2 linked regions of the Oryzias latipes genome follow. The protein of the gene in region 1 binds, or shares a complex with, the protein of each later gene. Links are inferred from orthologs where the notes say so. Each region holds a gene or a part of one and is shown on either strand. Other genes may lie near its edges.

The links.
Region 2: ppp4r4 (region 1) and ppp4r3b share a complex: the UniProt entries of both Homo sapiens proteins name them as parts of the PP4 complex. The link is inferred for Oryzias latipes from reciprocal best matches to the Homo sapiens genes PPP4R4 and PPP4R3B.

The regions. Positions count from the first base shown.
Region 1 is NC_019882.2:23,161,441-23,173,533, forward strand, and holds part of ppp4r4 (serine/threonine-protein phosphatase 4 regulatory subunit 4), read right to left. Parts: intron 7,716-12,093; coding exon 7,596-7,715; intron 5,337-7,595; coding exon 5,259-5,336; intron 4,520-5,258; coding exon 4,448-4,519; intron 4,344-4,447; coding exon 4,170-4,343; intron 4,088-4,169; coding exon 3,982-4,087; intron 3,894-3,981; coding exon 3,746-3,893; intron 3,646-3,745; coding exon 3,501-3,645; intron 3,411-3,500; coding exon 3,372-3,410; intron 3,295-3,371; coding exon 3,223-3,294; intron 3,123-3,222; coding exon 3,062-3,122; intron 2,993-3,061; coding exon 2,918-2,992; intron 1,109-2,917; coding exon 1,018-1,108; intron 923-1,017; coding exon 861-922; intron 790-860; coding exon 492-789; intron 1-491. UniProt on the Homo sapiens protein: Putative regulatory subunit of serine/threonine-protein phosphatase 4.
Region 2 is NC_019873.2:15,885,811-15,898,537, forward strand, and holds the start of ppp4r3b (serine/threonine-protein phosphatase 4 regulatory subunit 3B), read left to right. Parts: upstream 1-5,114; 5' UTR 5,115-5,414; coding exon 5,415-5,556; intron 5,557-6,076; coding exon 6,077-6,132; intron 6,133-6,746; coding exon 6,747-6,845; intron 6,846-7,239; coding exon 7,240-7,863; intron 7,864-8,940; coding exon 8,941-9,018; intron 9,019-9,388; coding exon 9,389-9,505; intron 9,506-9,591; coding exon 9,592-9,708; intron 9,709-10,074; coding exon 10,075-10,206; intron 10,207-10,548; coding exon 10,549-10,651; intron 10,652-10,716; coding exon 10,717-10,773; intron 10,774-11,515; coding exon 11,516-11,674; intron 11,675-11,775; coding exon 11,776-11,945; intron 11,946-12,020; coding exon 12,021-12,160; intron 12,161-12,293; coding exon 12,294-12,439; intron 12,440-12,523; coding exon 12,524-12,660; intron 12,661-12,727. Other genes in the region: pnpt1 (polyribonucleotide nucleotidyltransferase 1, mitochondrial), read left to right, coding at 30-87, 161-257, 355-457, 635-705, 1,669-1,705, 1,803-1,869, 1,947-2,036, 2,165-2,218 and 10 more. UniProt on the Homo sapiens protein: Regulatory subunit of serine/threonine-protein phosphatase 4 (PP4). May regulate the activity of PPP4C at centrosomal microtubule organizing centers.

The sequences.
Region 1 (12,093 bases):
ACAGTCCAACTACAGATACATTAACCTTTTTTCTATGATAAACATTCAATGCACTTCTGCTTTGTCTTGTCTGAAGAACACCTAGGGCCTGAATGTTAGTTCTATCAAAGAAGACCCACAACAGAGCCTGTTTAGACACAGGGAACTCCTCCAAGTTCAGTCTCTGCCTGAGTGTCTTTCTTCCTCTTTAGACTGACATGTTCATCTGCATAACGACATAACGCCATCTCTGCTTCTAGCTGGTGGAAGAACACTGTTGAGTGGATTGAGCTAAGGACTAAAGCAGAACATTCTGGATTAAAATAGGGTATGCACTGTCCCAAATTAAGTTGATGTCCAACCACGACAGACAAGGTTTGTGTAAAAGAAACATCAGAACATCAAGGTCTAACCATCACAAGGATGCTCGTTCAACAGGAAATAAAACTCTTCTTTGGATTTGTGAAAGATACAGGATAAACAAAGCAGTTTCAGAATTGGTCTGGACTTACAGTTTTCTAGACCGACTGTCCTTCACCCCGCTGCTACGCTCCATTGTTTTACTGCTCTGCTCCAAAGTGCTACTTCTGTGCCCTCTGTGGTCCAAAGTACTGGTTCTGTGGTCTTTGGAATAAAAACCACTATTGCTGTGCTCCATCACACTTTTCATGGAGTCCACGCTGGTAGTTCTGTCCAAGATACTGGGTCTGTCCAGTACACTTGATAGGCTTGTGTCATTTCGTACCAGAATCGGCATAAAGGAGGTGGTCTGGGTTGTCATGGTGAAGTGACTTGTTCTCAGGGAGGCATCTGCAAAACACATGAAGTGATGTACTGTATATGTCAGAAAAACATGCAAGGTCCTGAGTGCACACTGTTACCTTTGCTAACCAACACAGAGGACTTCCCAAGTCGAAACGAACCACTTAGGTCTTTGACCTTCCTGAAAAAAAGGTTACATTATAAGAATATTTGTCAAAGATTTAAAGGCAGAAACAAAACCAATCTGTGGCGTGTCTCTACGTGAGTGCATCTTACAGTGGTCTGTCAGAATTCACAGGTTTGCTTGATGACGGCTGACTGCTGAGGGAACGACTGCGAGACAATTTTGGCTTCCTCCTCTCTTTACCTGGAAGACGGAAGGCCTCATCATCCAAATCATCAATCATCTTTATTTAGATTTTCAGCACCACCATTATTACCATCCATAGTCCAGTGAGACAAAGTTAGTTAGTTCAGCAGTGAGACAAAAGAAAGTCAACAAGCAATAAAATCAACCAGTTTACCTGTTAGGATGAAACAAAAGTACAGTGATCCCTTGATTATCGCGGGGGTTACGTTCCAAATAGAACCCGTGATAAGCAAAACCCGTGAAGTAGAAACCTTTATTTTTTTACAATTATTATACAATGAAATTCACTATTATACATTGAAAAGAAAGAACAAACCATTTAACAGGCTAAATCAATTGTTTTTTTAACAATTTAACTTTAGAAACGTTTTTCAACAAATAACTTCTGTAGTGTGCTGTCAAATAATAATTTCAATCATCGATAAGAACAGAAGGCTTTAAATTGCAGAGATTAGCCCCGCCCACCGCGACCCGAGAGTAATTGGATTAAACGGGAGAAAATTTAAAATGATTATGAAAAAAATAAAAAAGTACAGTGGGACAGATAGTGACTCCGGTCTACTTTTTCACTGCTCTTCATACTGAGCCGCTGCATCCTCTGCAGCGTTTTTTCCTTCTGAAGCCCGCGGTGCAGCTGCAGGTGTGTTTGTTCGGGAGAGGAACATAGTGATAGGCAGTTGTTGTCGCTCTTTTTTCTTCTTTGCTAAAGACCCTCTTACACCGACATGCCCCCATCGATTATGTTGGAGAACTGTAATGAACGGCTCATCAAAGGGTCCCATTCTTGAGCTACTCGCTGAGTGACTTTTTAGCCAATCAGAATGCAGAACACAATGCACAATCCAAATCCGTGAAGTAGCAAAACCGTGAAAAGTAAACCGTGATATAGCAAGGGATCACTGTATTAGTAACTTTAACAATGAGAGACAAGGAAAGTGACTAACACAAAACTCCTGGATCTATCTTCAAGACATTCTTGACAGATCTTCATCTGCTGGGAGAACCAACCTTTCCTGGTTTAATAGGTAAATATATCTGAGTATCAGCAGCAAAGAAAATGTATGCTGTGCTACTGAATAATGTTACCCAAGGGAGCATGTTGAACTAATTAGGAGTGAACCAAGCACAGAGCCTTGTGGTGCACCATGACTGATTGCTGGGTGAGAAAGACTCATCGGTTACACAATTACCCTGCAATCTATCAGATAAAAGGTTTGACATAAAAAAGGACATAATAGAACAGCTTAAAGCTGTTCCTGTGATACCAATGATATATTCCAGTCTCTGCAAAAAAATGTTCTGATTAATGATGTCAAATGCAGCACTGAGGTCTAAAAGAACAAGAACAGGTCCAGTGTCTACACCATGAGGAGATCATTGTTCCCTCTAGCAGAACCATTTCTATGCTGTGATGAGCTCCAAATCCTCACTCAAAAATCCTCCTTAATCCTAAAAAATAATTTTGATCAGGTGCTTAAGGAGTTGATCTGCAACAGTTTTTTTTCAAGCACCTTAGATGATTTTTCAAATAATGAGATATTTTCTGATTTTTAGCTAACGCTGTAATTACTGTAACCTTTATATCCACAGGAACATACTCTATTTTTAAGACACATTATTCAGATCAATTTTCTAGAAACATGGATTACAGGAAAATTCTCAGTTGACAATAAGAGGAAATCAGATCCAAGAAAGGAAAGGAAGATTTGCAGCTGTATGTTACTTGTGCTAGTGTAGAGGGCTCAAGAGGACAAAGGTGTATTTAAGAAATAATGGTTATTGCTATCATCTTTATCATCAACTTACCAGAGGGTGGTGCTGCTACTGGGGAGGAGATGGACACAGACTTAGTGAAAGTCAGGCTGGTCTTGCTGTCTCTTCCTGTTGGAGGAAAAGGTTAACCAAAGCTTTGGTCCAAAAATCTTTTGAGAGGATGAAGGTTCAGCTCACGCTTTCTCTCTGTGTGCCTGTCAGAGGTCACTTTACCATCGCTGTCCTGTTCCAACTGTTCCTGACAACACATAACACAACAAACAGCAGTATGACATTAAAACCAGTTGGACCAAGTTGGCCAGTTCCAAGCTGGAGTCACGTTCTGGCTTTTGACTCACCATTTCCAGCTGGACAGTCTCTTCTTTCTTTTTCTTCAGGTCCAGCAGGTCCCTCTCCTGCCTCTTGTGAAACTGCACATACCCAGAAGATGGAGTTTGGAACAAATGTTTGCCTAATGCATTTGCAGAACACATGCTTTGCAGCTTACAGGTTCTGACAGGTCCAGTTTGTTCAGTTCCAGCACAGTCTGAAAATGATATTAGATATAGTTACACACAGAATCTTGAACACCATCACAGCCCATCCTCAATCCGGACAGTTCTTTGGTGAGGTTTACCTTCGGGATTGTGGCCACCACATCTTTGTCTTTTTCCCTGCATAAAAGTTTCTGAACACAAAAGTCCAATTTCTGCAGCAGAAGTTTGTCTGCTGGCAGGCAGAGACATAAGCGCAACCTGGGCAGCAGCTGGCAGAGCTTGTATCTAAGAAACAGGTGAGCAGGACAAGCTATTGAGTGGGATGTGGTGACCTTAATATTTGTCAAATTTCAGCTTGTGGCTTAGTAGAAATGCATTGAAGTACCTCACATTGGCAATGGGGTCATGGGCAAGCTCCAGCGCTGGAATCAGGAAATATTTACTGAAGTATTTTTTTGAGAAAATCTCTGTGGCAATTTCACAGACGTCAAGGAACCTAAGACGGTTCCAATAGCTTCGACCCAAAGCCAAATCTACAATCAGAGAAAGTCCTCTTTGTCTTGTCCTGACACATTTGTTTTCATCTTCACTAAAGCTGGAAAAAGCAGAAGATACTCTGACCTTGGATCAAACGTTCCATCATCTCCTGACGTTGTTCCTGCTTGCGGTTGTAACGCATGATTGTGCAAAGAGTTCGTGCAGCCTCCTTCTGCACTGGAAGGACTTTCTGCAGCCATGGAAAGCAGAGCAGAGTTAGTTACCCCCTTCAGCTGTAGCTACTGTAGAGCATGGATTACGGGGCTGCTAACGTTGGTGATGAGGAGGCTGAAGATGCGGTGGGAAAAGCTCTGATGCAGCAGCTCCCCAGAAAGCAGCCTTGCCAAGCAGCTGTATTGCTGGAGCAACTTCTCATGAAGCCGCCAACGCAGGGAACTTCCAACTTTTTTTTCAGCTAACAGCAGCACCGACAGCAGCTCTGGCAGCTGAGTCCCGCAAGAGAACAGAGAGAGGGAAGTAGACATCAGGTTCAGGCAGCCATGATCTGATCAGAAAGGGACTGAGCTTCTTTGTGTCACCACATCTTTACCATTGGGGAGTCTTCTCCCAACAGAAGCAGCTCAAGAGTTTCCTCAAGGTGGTTCATCAGAGCGTCCAGCACCTAAACAGCAAAGCAGGCATGTAAAGAACAGCTTCAGGTATGTCTTTTCACAGATCCTGTTTCACGAATCTGCAGGTTCTCCTACATACATTTAGACATGCTACATGGAACACATTAAAAACCTCTCAGAGCTCCCTTTCTTCAGAACCCAGTTTCACACGTACAGTACGTGCAAGAAGCTTTTCGAAAGGTTTAATGACAAGATTGTAGCAGATTCCAAAACACAGATAACAGCTCTAGCAGAGACAATGAGAACGGTAACACTAGAAACCTGTTACACTCTAACAAGTCATCTCCTTGTGTGTCATCCACACGCTGCCTCCATTCTGTCCACACTACATCAGTCAAATCTGACTGTTCAAGCCAAGGAGGAAAACTGTTCATCTGAGCTCAGTATGTGACGGCTGAGGGACACTCTTCAAGTCTTGTTTCATAATGATTTTATCAATAATAATGAAATATCTTTGAAACAAGACTGGAACGAATAACTTTACTTTGGTAGGGTAAAGAGCAAATCAGCAGTCCAAGATGCTGCCCCAGAACAGACTTTCTGTTACACACCGGCAAAAACAGGTCCGTTTCTGAGTTTCCTTCCGTATTTTATTCAGTTCTAGAAAATGAGAAAATTCAAGCTTCCTTTACTCCATTTCTTGAAGTACGGTGGATTTCTGTCCTCCAGAGGGCGCAGCACTACATCAAATGAAAAGCCTGCAGCTCCTGCTGTGCGTGAGCGTCTCACCTCCAGGGAGTCGTCCTGCAGCAGCAGCAGAAACTCTTTGTGCACCAGGTGGCTGTTTGGGCTGATCAGCTTCAGCACCTGACAGGAAGAGGTGTAACCATCATGTAAACCAGATCAGAATGGCAGGAGTGACAAAGACAGGTTGCCTGGGGCAAATAGGTTGCAGCATTTTGTTCTCATTCCATCTTCACATATTTCTAATTTTCATAGATTATTTCTTTCACCAAACATTTACCATCCTGCCTTTGTTTGTGTTTTGCTTTAAACTGTCATTGTATAACTAAACTTACAGGTCTTAAAAGAAAACAATTTTAGATGTAATGCATTGCTTTAGTGTGTTGTGCAACAAGTGAAATATTTCGTTTTGGAACCTTGGTAGAAAAGCTGGACCAAAAGACTTGAGGAAACTGTAGAACTGGCAAAACCGCCTTTGGCTGCCAGTTGTTCCCTAAAAGAGATTCACCAAGATTTTCCCCCCGGCACCCATTTCCTGGGAAAATCTGACTGTTCAGAAAGCACTTGGAACCAGATAATTGAAACCCAGCATGCCATGCTAGTGGTCAGACCAGTTCATTTCAAGTTCCTGAATACATGTTACAGGAAAAAAGTACTTCAGTTACCTGTTCCTATCAGCTGGAGATTGATATTTCAGAAATTTGGTTGGAGAAATGTTACCACATTTGTCCTTAATAATAACTTTTGTTGCTTTGGATTACGGCTTCAGTTGAATATGTAGCCCTGATCAAGACGTTTCAGATAAACACAGGCCTGTATCCAATCTCACCTTCTCTCATAGCACAGAAAAGGTTCTGCTGAAGGGAACAAAGATCTCCTCATGGCTGCAGACATTGAACTTGTGTCTGTTCTTGATCTTTTAGACCTCAGTGCTGCATTTGACACTATTGATTAGAAACTTTTATTAGAGGGTGGAACATGTCTTTGGCACTGCAGGAACAGCTTTAAGCTACTTGAAGTCCTTTTATTTGATAGATTGTTGTGCGTTCATGTAAATGATGTGTCTTCTTTACAAAGCTCAGTCACAGTGTACCACAAGGCTCTGTGCTGGATTCATTCCTCATTAGCTCAAATTTGCTTCCATTAAGCCTTAATCACAGCTGCCCTCACAGGTGGATGTGGGCTGCCTACTGGAAGAAATGGGCAAACGTGTACGGGGCACACAGGCGGCCTGCACACAATGTCACAGTTGTAAAACGCTCACTGAAAATGTTCATGTACATTTTTTCTATGGACATGCTGTCATGGTGAACACTACAGCACACGAGTAAGGGTGGATCAGGTAAGATGGAGCCGCGTTTAACATGTTTTTCTTTAAGACATAAAACACAACCGGACAGCCCACAGGAAGGCTCCCCAGACCCCAAACCCCCAGAGGGACCGTCCACAGGAAACCACAGGGACACGGTCAAATGCCTTCTCCAAATCCACAAAACACATATGGACTGGACGAGCGAACTTCCACCAACCAAATAGAGAGACTGACTCACATTTCAACGACCAGGACTTAAACCGCAGTGTTGTTCCTAAATCTGAGGGGCAACTATTGGCCGATCTCTCCTCTTCAACATTCTGAAATAGACTTTTCTGAGGAGGCTGGAGAGTGTGCTTTCCCAATAGCTCTACTGTATTTTGGGTGAAGGTACGATTCCATCACAACAGAAAGTTGCACAAACATATGTGGCTGTTGTAGGTGATCAAGGAGGGTCAGATTCCTTGAAAATGCTTTATTGGCAAAAAGTTTGCTCTGGAAATGAAACATTGTGCTTCATAGATGAAATACGCTAACCGGTCCTGTGTTAAACATTTACCCGACCCTCCTGTTCTCAGGTCCAGTGTAATCTGGGTAAAACGATGACCTAAGTGACTTGCTGTCCTGTGTAAATATGCATAAAAATGTATCTTTTCAATAGACAGAATGAGATCAAAGGTGGGTTTCAGGGCTCAAGGAAGCATGGGAATATTATGAAAATTAGAGGTTGAACTAAATATGTTTATTTGAGATGCTTCAATTTGATCTACAATAATGTTTACTGTAACAATAAGGACAATAAGCATTCAGGATGAGCCAAGTTTGTACTTGTAAGGGAAGAAGGTCCCTGTGTAGATGTGTAAATCAACACTAACTGCATTCAAAAGGTTACATATATTAGTTAATCATGAGTTTCATTTGTTTTTTGTTAAATGAAGCCATTTTTGGAAATGAAAAGTTTCATGTCTGCCTCATTCACAATCAGCCCACTTTGTTCTGGGAGAGGTAAACCCTGCACGAACGCTTCCTACATACCTCCTGACTGTTGGGGTGAGGGGTTATGGTCTGACCTGATGAAAACTGGCAGCGGCGCTTCGCCTGACGCTGACCTCAGGGTCAGTGCAGAGACTAGAGAAGGAGGAGTAGAGCTTGGAAAGGAAGTGAGCAGAGTCCGCAAACGCCACCATGGCCTATATAAAAAGAAGACACAAAATAAGACTCTGCTGTGCTTTAGGGCCTGAAGGTGAAAAGAAGCTGCTTCCAAATGACAAAAGTTAGGAGTTGTCTCTTTCTATTTAGAAGTCTAAAAGTATATTTTTGTATCTTATAGGATTTTTAAGAATAAGGCAACCTGCTTAACTATTGGAACACTTTGATGTTTTCTGACAAAACAGTCTGCCATTTAGTTGACCAAAGAAAAGAACAATAAACAGATAGGAGGGTAGAAGGATTGATGTGTGGATGGATTGTCTTTAGGTTGGTGTTGCTTCATGTCATGTTAGAATTTCAGGTCTGTCAGAGTCACCCCAAGGTCAGGTTTTTGATTACCCACAGCTGTCTTCATTTAATCAAAATTTGATCTATTAGAAAAGCATTTGCAGTGGTCTTTTAATTACTTTTTTAGCCCAAATCAACAGACCTGTGTCTTTTTCTAGGACATCAGGAGTTTATCAGAAATTCAACTCTGGTGGGACCATTGGTGGGAAGTAAGCCTATCTTCATTTCCCATTGTAAAGGAGGTATTGGTGATTTCATCTCAACCTTGTGACCTCAAGGATTGTACACTTTGAAAAATGATAAGACGTCAATCCGATCCACCCACACGCCACTTACTTATCAAAGGAATTGTTCATGTGCTTCATATAATTCATGGTTTCTATTAAACAAAGCCAAACAAGACAAGAGATTAGAATAATAACAAAACAGAATCAATGTTGTTAAATATAAACATACATGTAAAATATGAAAGACAGCTGTTCTTTCATTTAAATGTCAAAATTAAAAGATCCCCAACACCATCATGTGTCCCGGAGAACGTGACAATGCATCTTTGTCAGGGCCGTGCATCCCCAAACCACAAGGATTTGATCAAATAAACATGGACCTGAACATAAGTGTAATCATATCAAACCCACTTCCTCTCAGTTTTAAACATTTCCGGAAGACATTAATTTAAGTAAACTCAAGAATGTGAACAAAATAGAGTACACATCCCTAAAACAGCTGAATAAACATCCTAAAAGAGACAACACTGACATCTTTATACATGGACGCATGCAGACTAACAAAGAAAATAGGGAAGAACATTGAATCCACAAGAGCAATGATGCGAGGGTCCCGGCAGAGAGCTGCCTGTTATCTCAGATAAGCAGGGGGAGACATGGATGATGTGGCGTTAAAGGTGCTCAGGAACAATCAAACTAAAACTACAACTTAAACGGATACAGAGCAAATGCACGCATGAACCTTGTGATCACTTATCATTTCTTTGTCTACACTCCCTCCCACTGGCTTACAGCCCCTCATAACCCCAACCTAACATTAGTGGTGAAACAAAAATGGTGGGCAATATCGGATAATGCTCGCCATTTTTGGACAATTGGACAATATTTCAAAATAATTTAAAGACAAATAGAGCGCTCTCTGCTCTCCCTGGCCTCCTTCCAAAGAAGCTGCTGATTAGTTTATTTATTTATTTTTTTTACTTGTCCTGTCCAACAGCTGGTCAGGCAGATGAGAACTGAGGGCCTCTTGTGTTGGACATATTTTACTTTAACAACAGGGGTTATTAATCTTCAGACAAACCAGAGGTATGTCTGAATAAACCCCTTTTGTAATCAAGGCCAGACTTTATTAATTTCAGTCATGTTTGAAAATCTTTGGTGTTGGACCGGACGGAAAAGGAAAGAAGGGAAAAAGAGAGAGGGATGTTAGAGAGAGGGGGGGGGGGGTTAGGAGGGTGATAATAGGTGGGGGGGGAGGATAAGACCATGAAGCAGCATAAAGCAACAGGTTTACTGGTTGTTTATCATTACGGTAAGGTACAAATCTCAAAGGGCGGGGCCTGTCCACACACACACTCAAATGTTATCAACACACCTGCTAGCTGCAAAAATGTCCACTTGTCAACATGTACACAAAACAGATAGTGTTCACACACGCATACCCATGCCTTTAAACCAACTAGTGTGAAATATTTCATTCATTCAATCACGCAAACTATTACTGCAAATGTGAGCTAACACCTGTGCTCAGGTGAGTGTTCATGTTCTTCTAAAATGGATGATGGAATGTGAAAAGAAGGAGGGAGAGTGCCCAGCCACCCTCACACCAAGACCCCCGCCGCAGCGGCAGCTGTAACCCCCCAACGCCACACGGCAGCAGGCAGAGAACAACCGCCCCCCGGCAATCACATCCGCCACCCAGGCAAGGGCCAGCAATACCGCCACGAGGCCCCCAGAGCCAGAGAGCAGGGAGGCATGGGGGGAAAGAGAGCGCCGCCCCAGCCCAACCAGGAGAGCAGCCCCCCCGCCGCACCGGGAGGGCCCAACGCTGGGCCCCACCCGAGAAGGGCGCCCACAGCCCCAGACGAGCACCCCATCACCACCCAAGAGTTCTGGGCATCCCCCTGCCCCAACCCCAGGTACGAGCCAGGACCCCCCAAGGGAGACCCGCTCCACACTCCAGGCAGCCACCCACCCGGCCCACGGTTGGTCCAGGAAGGAGCAAAGCAGGGGCCAGCAGCCCCCGCCCAGGAGGGGAGCACCCCGCGGAAAAGGGGGGCCCACGAGGGGTGTTGTAAACATGGCTCGACAGTTGGAAATTTGGCGGGGCCCAGCGCTCAGGGGCAAGGACCAGAACCCACCCCACAGGTGTAATGTGAACCCTCTTCCCGCGCGGAGAGAGCACCGCCGGGCCCAGGAAACCGGCACCCAGGGGCCACGGCCACCGTTGCCAAGGGCCCAGTACCCCCCACCAGGGAAGGGCTAGGCGACAAATGGTCCTATGTCCCACCTTCCTTGCAATATGTGTGTGCATGTGTGTGTGTTTGTGAGGGTGTGTGTGTGCATGTGTGTGTGTGTTTATGTTTGAATGTATATTTTGAGGAGTAAAGGGTGTGTGCACTAAGGGGGTGCAGTTAAAATTGGCGGGTAGGGTGCTAGGAGGACATCTGCTGCTTGCTGGCAGTGATGTCCAAGCACCCCCCCTACCAAGGGCCCTACATGTCTAAGGTGCAAATAAAACCGAGAGAGGGGGGGCCCACTCCATACGGCAACCTTGGGAGGGGGACCACTGCCAAGTAGCTCCCCCCCATGGTGCATTGCAGGCTAAACCCCCCACCCCCTCACCCTAATATGAGATTATATGAGGAAGGGGGTAAGTTGGGGACAGCTGGTAGACTGTCCCCCGGTGGTCAAACAGCCCCCCCCCCCAGCCCCCCCCAGCATAGGGGCCAGGTCCCCTCAGCCCAGGGGTCCCATCCCCGGAGGCGCCGAAACCCCAGGCCCAGCACCACCCACCCCACACAGAGAGAGAGGAGCCAGAAAGCGCCGCCCCCCCGGCGGTTGAGGCAAGTCCAGGCCCCCACCCCCAAGTGCTGGCCCTGGGGGCAGCCAACCGGCCGGGGCAACCGCCGATGCCTCAGCGGAGACCCCGACCCGTCAACCCCCCAAGGTCCCGTACCAATAGTGCCCCCCCCCCAGAAAGCCCCCCCACAGGACAGAGCCGGCAAGCCCCCCTCCACCCCACCCCAGACCCCGCAGCCACAGCGGATGACACCCAAAGCGACCGGGGGCCCCAAGAGGGTTGTCCCGTCCCGTCCCAGAGCCAGGGAAGGGTTGATCCCAGCCCCAGGTGTAGACGGGCAGCCCATCCAGCGCCGCTGGGCCTCCCCCCCCGAGCAGGGCCCCCCGCCAATTCCCCCCAGCACAGGCAAAGGGACCAACCCCCCAAGCCGAGCCAGACCACCACTCCATCCCCCCCCACCACACACTCCACACCCAAGCCCAGAAGACCGCGCAGCGCCCCAGCCCGCCCCACCCAGGCACCGGACCCGACCCCCCGACCGGACCCGACCCCCCGAAGCTGCTGATTAGTTGATGCAAAAGAGCGAGTGGCCACTTCCTTCACTGCTCGTCTCACTCCGTCACTCACAGTCCCAGCAGACACAACCTGTCAGCTGAGCTTAGCCGCTGCTCAGAGTTTTGTCTGCTATTTATCACTGAAATGATTTCATCACTTCTTTTTTAATCAATTCTCGCTCTCTTTTTTGGAGTTATCCAAGAAACGAGTTGACTGCGCAGTTTGCTAAAGCTAGTGCTAAGCAGCAGCAGAGATCGACTCCTCGGGCGGTGCTGCAAACTTCAACGCTTGTGCACGCTCAGTAAATGCTTGAATTGTCCAACATGCAGCCGAACTGGCAGAGGCTTTCTGAACTGGCAGGGTCAGTGTAAAAGCCTGGATATGGACTTATCAGTTATAACTTTTTGCAAAAAAGAAGACGACTAATAAATGACTAACAGGAGAAGGTGCAGGAGAAGAGAAGATGCCACATTGCTGCATTCCCCG
Region 2 (12,727 bases), on another chromosome or scaffold:
TGTCTGAATAAATAACATCCTTAACGCAGATTTCAAGAGATGAAGCCATAAACAAAATACGATTGGAAACTGAAGAAGATCTCAAAGGTATGCAGACATTTAATTTGCATTTTGTAGCTGTAAAGGTTTAGTCAAAATATTTTTATCCTTCTGTGTGTAGATGCGTTTCCTCAGGCGGAGCCCTTTGACGTCATTGAATCTTTTAACATCGTGAGCAAAGAAATCTTCCGTAATTTGGTGCTGAATGAGTACAGGAGGTGAGCGGGATCTGCTCTGCTTTTACAAAGTTAATGTCATGGTGCACAGATCTGGAAAAACTAAAACAGGTGTGTGGATTTCGTCTTTGTGTTAAAGATGTGACGGGAGGGAACTGACCGCTTTAAGAACCATCTCGTGTGAGGTTGATCTGTTTAGGCCTCTGCATGGCTCAGCTCTGTTTCAGAGAGGACAAACACAGGTATGTAAAGAGCTTTAAGCCAATCCAAGTTAAAAGGGGAGACGGTTTGAATATAAGAGATAGAACATATAAATGCTTAAGTTGTATGGATGAATATTCGACTTCCTGCTGTAAAAATGTTCTTGTAGTATTTTTAGCAGGGTAGATGTGAGCCTGGTGTTCTTCTGTTCCCTGTAGGTGTTGTGCAGCGTCACCTTTGACTCCCTGGAGTCCAGCATCAAAACAGATATTATCACAACAGCTTTGAGGTAAGGTGGTTGCTTTGTATAATAAATTAAATGATTAACTTTTCTGGCTACAATGCAGCGTAAAATGATAGAAGCAATATGATCTGTTTCTGTAGAACGGATTGGTGAAAACATTAGGAGTGGAAGAAACTGAAATGCTTTTAAAACTTTAAGCTTTGTGTTCATTGTTCAATTTAAAGATCAAGACAGACTTGCATAACTTTGTGAGTGAAAAAGGTCAACCAATATATTTAATATCTAATTCTGATAATATGATTTATGATGAAAGTAACAGTTGAACAACATTTGAATTAGTATGAGTAAAAAATTAGTTAGTAAAAGTTAGTATGAGCAAAAAATTACTTTGCAATACTTTCACTTTTGTATTCCACTGTTTAATGATGATCATATTTTATATAATTTACTATCCTAAATGGCGTTATGGGTCATTAAAGATTGTCTGACAACACAAGTTAGTTTTCATCTTTTAGAAGTTAAAAAGCAAAATACTTCTGTTTTTTTTTATTATTATTATTATTATATATCTTTGTTCTCTACATCGAATTAATCCAATATCTGTTTATTAATCATACATACTTCCAGGAAACAGTTACACCTGAACTTAAGGATAAAAAGAAAACATTTTTTCAAATTTGACTTTATGTTGTGAGGCTCTAAACACTCATCAGAGCATTAGAATTGTTTTTTGAATAGGGCTGGCATTATCTCCCTTTACCACATTCACATGTACGAGAGTATAAACCGTTACAGAAAAAAAATCTTTATTTAGAAAACTGAATCAATTATTTTGTCTGAAAACTTATTAATAATATGTAACTCCCATTTTCACCCAGAAGTTGTATTATTAAAGAGAAAATGAATAATCCTGTTCCTGATCATATCTGAATGCCTTGTTGAGGTTATTTTGTAGTAAATTTTGAACAAATCTGCATCCCTAAAATGCCCACTCTTTTCTTTCTGAAGTGGTGTCAAAGACAAAAACTTCATGCTTCATTATGAAGTAAGTGGATTTTGATTTTTTTTTCAATCAAATACATAATTCGTGGATTTATAATCTTTAATTTGGTGTCAATTTAATGTGTTCTTTTTATGTTCAGTTTCCTCCGTATGCAACTAATGAGATCGGCAAAATGGGAGGCCTGAACAGGAGAGAGCTTGGACACGGTTGGTTGGGATGTTCCGGTCTCGTATTTGGTTCCTTTTTTAGCAGCTCTCACTGGGGGCGTGGCTTGTGTTTGTAGGAGCTCTGGCTGAGAAGGCGCTGAGACCAGTCATTCCCAAAGACTTCCCTTTCACTATCCGAGTCACATCTGAGGTGTTGGAGTCAAATGGTCAGTTTTTAAGACATTATTTCAGAAATATAAAAAGTTAAAAGGAGGTGTGGAAGCTCTGTTGCTCCTGTTGTAGTGTTCTTTTTAAGGCTGTTTTCCATTGTTTAATAACTGTGTTTGCCTTTTAGGTTCATCATCAATGGCCTCAGCCTGTGGAGGAAGCCTTGCCCTTATGGATGCAGGTACCAAAGCCAGACTAAAAGAATGTGCTAAAACTCTCTTACCAGGTGTATTGAAGCACACATGAATCTTGAGAATATTAATTTGTTCTGTTAAATGATTTTTATTTCCTGTTCTGCAATGTAAATGGTATGTACTCCTATAGCGCTTTACTTTCTTTATTAAAGGCCCAAACCTCTTTACAGCCACAGTCCCATTGACTCATGTAAACACACATTTACACACATGAACACAATAAAAGGTACGACATGTAATTTAGATTTATATGCAAGTGTGGATTGTTGCAATTGAAATATTTTTCTGGCACAAAATTCTTTTTAAAAGAAGAACGTTATAAATGTTGTTTTTTCCAGGTGTTCCCATCTCTTCCGCTGTGGCAGGTGTGGCCATCGGCCTTATTTCCAAAGCAAACCCACAGAAATCTGCTGAGATTGAGGACTACAGAATACTGACGGATATTCTGGTACAAACCATCTCAGTTTAACCTACGACAGACTGTTTGGTTTCTGTAAATAACTTGGTTATTGTCGTTTTTCATTGAACATTTGTGAGTGGATTGCTGTTTTCTTAACAGGGAATAGAGGATTACCTTGGAGACATGGACTTTAAAATGGCAGGAACAAGCAAGGGGATCACTGCTTTACAGGTATTATGTTTGATGACTCAACAGAAAAACCTAGCAACTTTAAACAACATGTATTCGGGGCAATGTGGTTTTTTGACCATCTTTTCAACACACATGAGGATCAAATGTAAAAAAAAAACAGTAAAATAAAGCAAAGTGTGTAAAGTTTTTGATTCCCTCTCTTGTACTAAAGTGATTATTTTTTTCTTTTGTTTGACATTTAGGCTGATGTGAAGATTCCAGGTTTACCTTTGAAGGTGGTTATGGAGGCAATCCAGCAAGCAACGGGTACAGAAATCTAGTATTACTTCAGTATTAGTATTTGTTAGCTTTTTAAAAAAAATCCTTTTGTTTTTCAGTGGCCAAAAGGGAAATCCTTGGAATCATGAACAAATGCATTGCAAAACCAAGAGAGAGCAGGAAAGAGAACGGACCAGTCGTTGGTAAATATTGTAAAGGGATCTACACATCTCTTTGGAAATGTTGTGGTTTAATGAGCGCTGGGTTCTGGTAGAAAATGTGCGGGTGCCTGCATCTCGAAGAGCGCGCTTTGTCGGCCCAGGAGGATATAACCTACGCAAACTGCAAGCTCAGACAGGTATTCTGGTAATCGAGCACTGATTACATTTGGATGTGCAGAAGTGTTTAATTTAGTCTTTTTGTTTCCTCTAAAGGTGTCACTATAAGTCAGGTGGATGAAGAAACGTTCTCTGTGTTTGCTCCAACTCCTGGAGCTATGAATGAAGCCCAGGAGTTCATTAGCGATATCTGCAAAGACGATGTGAGCCAACAACAAAATCCAGAATGCATCTGGTTTATTCATTAATTATCAGTTTGATATTCCAGACTATCACTGAACCTTGCCTATATGTACCTAAAGCTCGAGCATTAATGTTGCTTCCCATTTGCAGCAGGAGCAGCAGTTGGAGTTTGGTGCCGTCTACACTGCCACCATCACAGAAATAAGGTAACCTTATTTACTTTTGAGGGCTGAAAGCGAGCCCTGATCCAGCCACTGATGGACATACCTCTCTGTTTTAGGGACATTGGTGTGATGGTTAAACTATATCCAAACATGACGCCTGTCTTGCTGCACAACTCCCAGCTGGACCACAAACGGGTTTGTAAAACGCACTTTGGTGGACTTTTTTAATCTGTTTTTGTTAAACCACACCATCCAATTTTCTTTTATAGAGCACTTAAATGATCTGTTCTGATCTGAAGTGGTGTACAATCATGTAAACAAAAAAGAAGATAAAAACAATGCACAAGTAAATTGAAAATAATCAATCAAATAAAATGACGAAAATGTATCTCTTGTAGATCAAGCATCCAAGTGCTTTGGGTTTGGATGTAGGACAGGAGATACAGGTTTGTGTCAGCTGTTCAAAGTGACCTGTTTTATTGCCACTGTGGGGTTTCTTTTTTTCTAACAAGTGTTCTCCTGACAGGTGAAGTATTTTGGACGAGATCCAACAGACGGCAGAATGAGGCTTTCACGAAAGGTGTTGCAGTCTCCTGCCGCCACTGTCGTCAAGACGCTAAGTGAGAAACAGAGCATTTCCATGGGTTCAAACATCAGCGAAAGATCCGACTTGTGACAGAATGGCACAGCGCAGAGTTTCCTGACTAATCCACCAACTACAATTCGAAAGGAATATTACTTTTGAAGTAGTAATCCCAAGAAAGATGCAACAGATGTCGTAAACATGGCACTATTGGACAAATGAGGCATCTGGCTGACAAGAACAGAATTGTGTTTTGTTTTTTTTGTGTTTTTTTTTAGGTTTGTCCTTGTTATGTCATGTATCAGCAACAATGCTTCTTGTACTTCCACAAATATTTGTGCCTTATGTGGTGGTATGATTACAAGTTTGCAAAAGTCTAGTACTTGCTATTGTTTAGGATTTTTACATTTCATATCTATTGTCCTCTAATATACTGGTATAGAAACAAAAACAAAGTGGGAGAACTTCACAGCATATGTACTTGTTTTTTTTTATTTATAGTCTATGTAAATACACAAATACATGGCATTTCTTAATCATTTTGGAAATAAATAAAACGTTTTTTTTCTATAATCTAATATTGAAATGTATTGTTTTATGCATTATTTGGTAATTGTTTCAAATATTTATGTGACGAAAACTAAATTATTTTTTTTACTTAAAATGCATGAGGTACTGCAGTTCCTTTCCCAGCCATTAAGTTGCGGAATTCCCAGTTGCCTGAAGGAATAAGCCCCGCCCCACGCACGGCAGTTAGCGCATGATTGACATCCGCGATGAAAAAGAGCACAAGATCGGATTACAAGATGGCGGTCCGTGGACGTTAGCAAGAAGGCCATCAGAGTTGTTTCTTTAAATTTCTCAGTTTGAAATCAGACTGTCTATTTGGATTTATAACCGCAAACGTGATATGTTTGCGAGATATATTCGACTACTACTGTAAACGTCAACCTAGACTGGCATGTTTTGTAACATGCAGGTGGGAACAAAGTTAACAGGTCGAGGAAAGCAGTAAACGGGGTGAGGTGATAGCTTAGCAGCCTGCTAGCTCCGATTCGATTAGCCATGTCGGACACTCGGCGGCGAGTAAAGGTATACACGCTAAATGAAGACAGGCAGTGGGACGATCGGGGTACAGGTCATGTTTCATCTACGTTTGTGGAACGACTGAGGGGAATATCACTGCTAGTTCGAGCCGAATCGGACGGTAAGTTCTCTGTTAGCATTAGCTAACTAGCATGCTATATTTTAAATAGCAAAGCTCTTAGTTTGATAGCATTTCTGACTTGGTGGATGTATTTATGCAGTTGGTGTAGCGTTGTGTGTCACTAAATTAATTGTTTTAGACCAATTGGTATATATTTACTTTGAAAACATGAAGTCAAATGTTTGTTTTTCTTTTTCCGGAGAGTCCTCATTTCCAACGACTAGTTGGTTTGGTTGGTCGTAGTAGCATGGGCCCCCCCTCAAAGTCGCGGCGCACACGTTTACACTTGCTCGTTGTAATAAACTTAATCTATTCATGGATATTGCTCTATTTCTGCTACTATTACGTCAGGCTGTATTAATTTGGTTCATAAACTACTGTATTTATTTTAGCTGTTATTCTGATCTTATTTTGAACTAATCATCATTGTGGTTCATACGTCTATTGTTGGCAAATAGTTAATTGGTTTGTAAATAGTTTCATACCACTCTGAAAATTAAGCAATTCTGTTTTTTATTAGGATCTTTGTTGTTGGAATCAAAGATAAGTCCGAATACTGCATATCAGAAACAACAGGTAAGTATTTAATATTTCAACAATTAAGGAGTTTTATACTTGGTTTAATTGAGTCTTACAATTGAAAAGCTATTGCATAATAGTAAAGTTTTCCTCCTCTGTGGTTATTCTGTTGTAAGAAAGTTGGGAATAGATGATGTGTAATTATGCTAGTATACTAAGCTTTTTTTACTTGAAGACTTTGTAATGTGAAATACTGTTATATTTATCATCAGTACAATTGTTCAACCTTAGGAATAACACAATTGTGGTATTTCATTACCACAAGAAAACATATACATTAAAACAATACTAGACATCTTATGCAGGGGAAATGAAAGGGAGCAGCAATAAGAAAAATATATCTTTCTACCCCTAAAAACATTTAGAAGAGGTACATCTACAACTATGTACACAGAAGTATCTTCTTTTTTTACTTTTCTACACCTGTTCAGTCATTTAAAAACAAAGTCGTTGGTTGTATTTTTGTATGAGTACAATGATTAAGGCACACATTCTGGGTTTAAATTAAGCTTTATTTAAAGTTTTAATGTAAAATATGTTTGAAGACAATTGTTGTTGTTGCTATTTTTGTATTTTTGGTAATAGGAAAAAGTTTCATTCTTTTCTTTCAGGACACACTGATTGTTTGGTCAGAAGCGGATAATTACGATCTTGCTCTAAGCTTCCAGGAAAAGGCTGGCTGTGATGAGATTTGGGAAAGGATCTGTCAGGTAATTACAAATAAAGACAGTTCAGCATGTCCCTCCTTCTTGGTGTCCCTTCTCTTTGATGTTTGAAAAACGTTCCTGTCAGGTGGGACTTTGTAACTGTTACTGTATAACGATTGAAACATGTTAAATAACATATATATTTTTTTATAAATAAAGGGATTGAGGGTTTTGGTCTTTTAACTCGTTAAAGTTTGACATTGTATTTTAGCAAAAAAAATAAGTTTATTTTTAGCTGTGGCTCATACCTGCAAGTATCACATACGTTTAGAATGTATAAGAATGCTGCGAGTTTTGCAGTTTTTACTACCAGTATCCCAAGTAAGGGAGTTCATGATTCTTTACTGTAAATTTTTTTTTTTAAATATGTGATTTTTATTTTATTATTTTTGCTCAGGTACAAGGCAAAGACCCTGCTCTGGACATCACTCAGGATCCCATCGATGAATCAGAGGAGGACCACTTTGAGGAAATTCCAGAGACAAGCCACTTGGTTGAGCTCCCGCCATGTGAACTAGGTCGACTTGAGGAAATCGCTGACCTGGTTACCTCTGTTCTCTCCTCACCCATTCGGCGCGAAAAACTTGCACTGGCTCTAATGAGTGAGGGCTACATAAAGAAACTGCTGGGTCTCTTCAGAGTATGCGAGGACCTGGACAACAGAGAAGGCTTGCATCACCTCTATGAGGTTGTGCGGGGAGTCTTGTTCCTCAACAAAGCTGCCCTTTTTGAGGTGATGTTCTCGGATGACTGTATCATGGATGTGGTAGGTTGCCTTGAGTATGACCCAGCATTGGTTCAGCCTAAAAGACATCGGGAGTTCTTGACCAAGACCGCAAAATTTAAGGAAGTGATCCCGATTACGGACTCTGAGCTGCGGCAGAAAATCCACCAGACCTACAGAGTTCAATACATCCAGGACATAATACTGCCTACACCCTCAGTGTTTGAGGAGAACTTCCTGTCCACCCTCACGTCCTTCATTTTCTTCAACAAAGTGGAGATTGTCAGTATGTTGCAGGTAAGGATCTAAACCAGGCTAAAGTGAGTGTAAGTTTCAGTTTAATGTATTTAACAATGTAAATTAAAATGTTTTCTATTAAAAGGGATTCTTTTAAGATGTAATCAACATTCTGCACATTGACTGTTGGACAGTCTGTATCTTCTGTTGTTCGCTACGTTAATGTACTCTCTCCAGTTTCTAATACAAAAAAATTTATGGCAAAAAAATGAAATTGTGATTTTAAAAATGTGTTCTCTACATAAATAGGAGATAATTGAGAGAAACTGAACAGGATAATACTTGTGCTAGTGTGTTTTGCATTATTTTCTTGAAAAGTTCACTGTAAGTCAAGATATTTGTTTAAAAAAATGACAGCGTTTAGAATGTGCCAAGAGAATGAGTTGTTCTACAAAGCTTCAACCTGCTTTGTCATAATGTGTCCCCCTCTATTGTTTCCATAATAATGTCTTAATACATTTTCACATAAAAGTTTAAGATGATCATTTGAGATTTTCATCATATATCTCAGATTTCTTCTGTTTTTAACTTTTTTTTTAATGTTACCTGATAGTAATAGTTTAGTTGTCTTTTATATATATATTTTAAAAATAACTTCCGGCACTCTTCACTGTTTGTATTGTTTCCATGGTGTAATCAGTTCCAACTGATTTCCTGTTTCTTCCAATCTCTTGCATGATCTCTTCCAGGTTTTTAATTTTGATCTGAAATTGCTCAATTTTTTCACACTTCATTTTATTTATTTATTTACTTGATTTAGCCGGCATAATACCAAGGGAGTCCTGGCAAAGAGACAACCGCAGTTGGTTAAAAATACATTAGAACACTTTAATGAGAACATATGGTGTTTGGATTGAAAAAATGACCGTCTCATTTTTTTTAGTATCAATTTTTTTAGAAATTGTGTGTATAGAGCCAACTCTCTGTAAAGTTTTATTTAATAAACAAAAGGCATAGTCAGTGGGCGACAGTGTGAAAGAGAATTAAATATTTAAACCTTCCAGCTTCTCCTTTGTTTTTGTTTTTTTCTGTCATTCTGTTTGTTTATACCTGAACTGTTTTCCCTGTTTTCCACAGGAGGATGAGAAGTTCCTAACAGAGGTCTTTGCACAGCTTACAGATGAAGCCACAGATGACAGTAAAAGGAGAGAGTTGGTAAGTTAATCATCAACATGCTTCACTAAACCCTTTATTTGTTGTTTAAAATCTATTTGTAAACGGCATGGTTTCAAAGATTACATTCCATTATAGTCGAATGGAAATGTTTAATATTTGTACTATTGTTTTTTTGAAAGCATTAATGGTTGGTCTTTAATTTTGAAGTTTGAGTAAATACTGTCTTAGTTCATTTCCTTATTCAATAGTATAGCATTTGTTGAATTTGAATTGTTTTGTTGGATCAGGTGTAATCATTGACATCCGCTGGAAAAAAGCATTGTAGAACAAGGGAAATTAGGGTTAAATATGTTGGTTTTTTTTACTTACTACGTTTTTCTTTTTGTCCTTTTTTCCCTCTCACTTTTAGGTGAACTTTGTCAAGGAATTCTGTGCTTTTTCCCAAACTTTGCAACCACAAAACAGGGATGCCTTTTTTAAAACCTTGGCAAATTTGGGGATTTTACCTGCTCTGGAAATAGTAATGGTATGTCTGTTTTTTGTTTAAAATGCTGGCTTTTGGATGATTCAGAGGAATGCGTGCATCATCACTTTCCAATTTGTTGTTATCAGGGAATGAATGACCTACAAGTACGGGCAGCAGCTACAGACATCTTCTCTTACCTGGTGGAATTCAGCCCCTCCATGGTCAGAGAGTTTGTCATGCAGGAGCCTCAGCAGACGGATGACGTAAGTTTGGATTCATCTGTCACAAGCAAGCTCTGCTTTGAGTTTAACCTGTATCCACAGTGATATTGATTTATAAATGTACTGATTTTTGAAAGTGTTGTGCTGTTTTTACTTTTATATTGTTGTACAAAATAAATAAATCAAGTGGGTTTTAAGTTGGATAATATGAAACCATATTTCTGAAGTGTTATCAGCAATTAGGGGTTTGTTGCTTTTTTTTTAAACCCCATTTCAATAATCCTTATGAAAGTTCATCTATATGCCGTTTTGATTACTATAAACTCTGTTTACTTACTCTTAGAAACATCACAGTATACGTTTCAGATTTTCTTTCCTCATTGTTTTCCCTTTGTGCTTGTGTGTCAGGATGTTCTGCTGATAAATGTGGTGATCAAGCAGATGATCTGTGACTCAGACCCAGAGTTAGGAGGAGCTGTTCAGCTGATGGGCCTTCTCAGGACTCTCATTGATCCTGAAAACATGCTGGCTTCCACCAATGTAAGCTCCACACAACTACACAGAAAAAAGGATTCCTCTATTTTACATGAATGTAATTATTTTTTTCTGATGTTCATTCTTGAAAACACTTTTGGTTTGGTCGGTTTGAGCTTGTAGCTCATTTCAACATTTTTATGTTAAATAATTAACAGCAAATTGTTACTTTTCAACCTAAAAGCCTCATAGATTCGTTGTGAACTCCAGCTGATTATTGATAGTTGGTCTGAAATCTTGATCGTTGACCTAAAGTAAAAAAAAAAAATACATTTGATGAAAAAAATAAAGCTTGATTGTTGTTTTGATTAAATTTTCATGTCTTTTTCTCCTTTCATGTTTTGATAGAAAACAGAGAAGACTGAGTTTCTGAGTTTCTTCTACAAGTACTGCATGCATGTGCTCACTGCTCCTCTGCTGGCCAACACGGCACATGACAAGACCACGAAAGGTAAACTTGGGACTTTGCTGTTTTTCTTCTGCTGTATGGGAAAAGGTCTTGTTTGATTTATGCAGATATTGATGTTTCAGATCAGCAAGACGGATCCACAAAGATCAACCCTGTCTGTCCAGGTGGGTGTTAATGCAGTAAATGTTCCAGCCTGTGTACAGCACAGTTTCTAGAAACGTTACTACTCAGAGTACACAGGTTCGCTTAAGCCAGTGCTTCTCAAATAGTGGGGCGATGCCAGGGGGGGCCGCGCAGTGGTAGCGGTTTCAGGCACAGGTAATACGGGCAATTGCCTGGGGCGCAAATTTAACGGGGCGCTGTAGTGACAGCGGCTCAGTGCTTGGAATAAAATCTGCGCCACTATTGATTTACTCTTATCTGTTATATGACAGAGTTTATAACAGCCTGAAACCTGTGAACTGCCGTCCCTGCAGCTGCTCCTGTCTGCTGTCACAGACAGCGTGTGTGAGAATGAAAGGGGAGGGGTAGTGCGCTCAGGCTGCAGGTTGAACAGCGCATGCGGAGCGCTAGATTGCGCAACACCAGGATCATCACGTGCCTTTAGATTACTCACCTCATGCTAATAATGTCATTCTTTAAGAACTATTGTAGACATTTTGATGACGTCTCTGTATTTTCCATAAATGTATTCTTTGTCTGCCTGTCGTTTAGTTGGTGTCAGTATTTGACATGAAGACAGCAGGAAAACAGCTGCACTATATGATATCATAAATAATCATTTTGAAAAAAATCAGCATAATGTTTTTTACCTATTTCTTCCTTGCAAAAAACTAATTGTGAAGCACTGCCTCAAGCCTTGGTTTGTTGTGTAAGTAAACATAAGTCGTTTTCTTGTTTCTGTAGACAACTTCCAGACAGCTCAGCTGTTGGCTCTGATCCTGGAGCTGCTCACTTTTTGCGTGGAACACCACACCTACCACATCAAGACTTACATCATGAACAAAGACCTGCTCAGGAGAGTGCTGGTGCTCATGAACTCGAAGCACACCTTTCTTGCTCTTTGTAAGTCCATCCAGGAGCAAATGACCTGCAGCCCAAGCTTCCAGTCTTGTTTTCTTCGAGTGTAATGTTTTTCACAATAATGTATTTGTTTTGTGTTTTAGGTGCCCTGCGTTTCATGCGCAGAATCATTGGTTTGAAAGATGAGTACTACAACCGCTACATCATCAAAGGGAACCTGTTTGAGCCTGTCATAAATGCCCTGCTGGACAACGGCACTCGATACAACCTCCTCAACTCAGCCATCATTGAGCTCTTTGAGTTCATTAAAGTGGTGCGTAAAAGCTCCAACTGCAACATGTGTTTGTGTTTGCAACAAAATTAAGATTTTCTACATGTCTTTTTTTAGGAGGACATCAAATCACTCATCGCTCACATTGTGGATAACTTTTACAAAGCACTTGAACCCATTGAGTATGTTCAGACCTTTAAGGGCCTGAAAGGGCGTTACGAACAGGAAAAAGACAGACAGAGTCAGAGACTCAACAGGTGAGCAGTCTGAGATACAGTCCTTTTATTGATGTGATCTGCATCTTCAAGAATTTATAAAAAAATTCTCTTTTTCACTTTTCTGTTACATAGAAGCTAAACTGTTTGGTAAATCTGTTTTCTTCCCCTGTAGATATCGCAGAGATGCGCGATCGCTGGATGAAGATGAAGAGATGTGGTTCAATGACGATGAGGATGATGAAGATGGAGAGTCAACGGAGAAAAGGATGGAGGATGACTTCTCTGACAGCTACGGCAAGTTCATGGAAACCAAAAAGGGTAAGCTGCACTGGCAGAAATATCCAGAAGAACCTTTTTTATTTTTTGTGGATTGCAACTTTATCAGTATCTTTATATCTGCAGGTGCTGCCAACGGAGCAAATGGTGCCAATAATGGGAAGGCAGCTGCAATCCCTCCTGCTTCTCCGGTCGTCACTCCAAACAGCAGTCCGTCGTCCTCCGTCAAAACAGTTGCTCTGCCTCCTACGTGTGTTGTGAAGGTAATACTTCTTAAAATGTCTTCAAGAAGCCATTGTTATCTTTTACTTAAAGGTTTCCTTTTTCTTT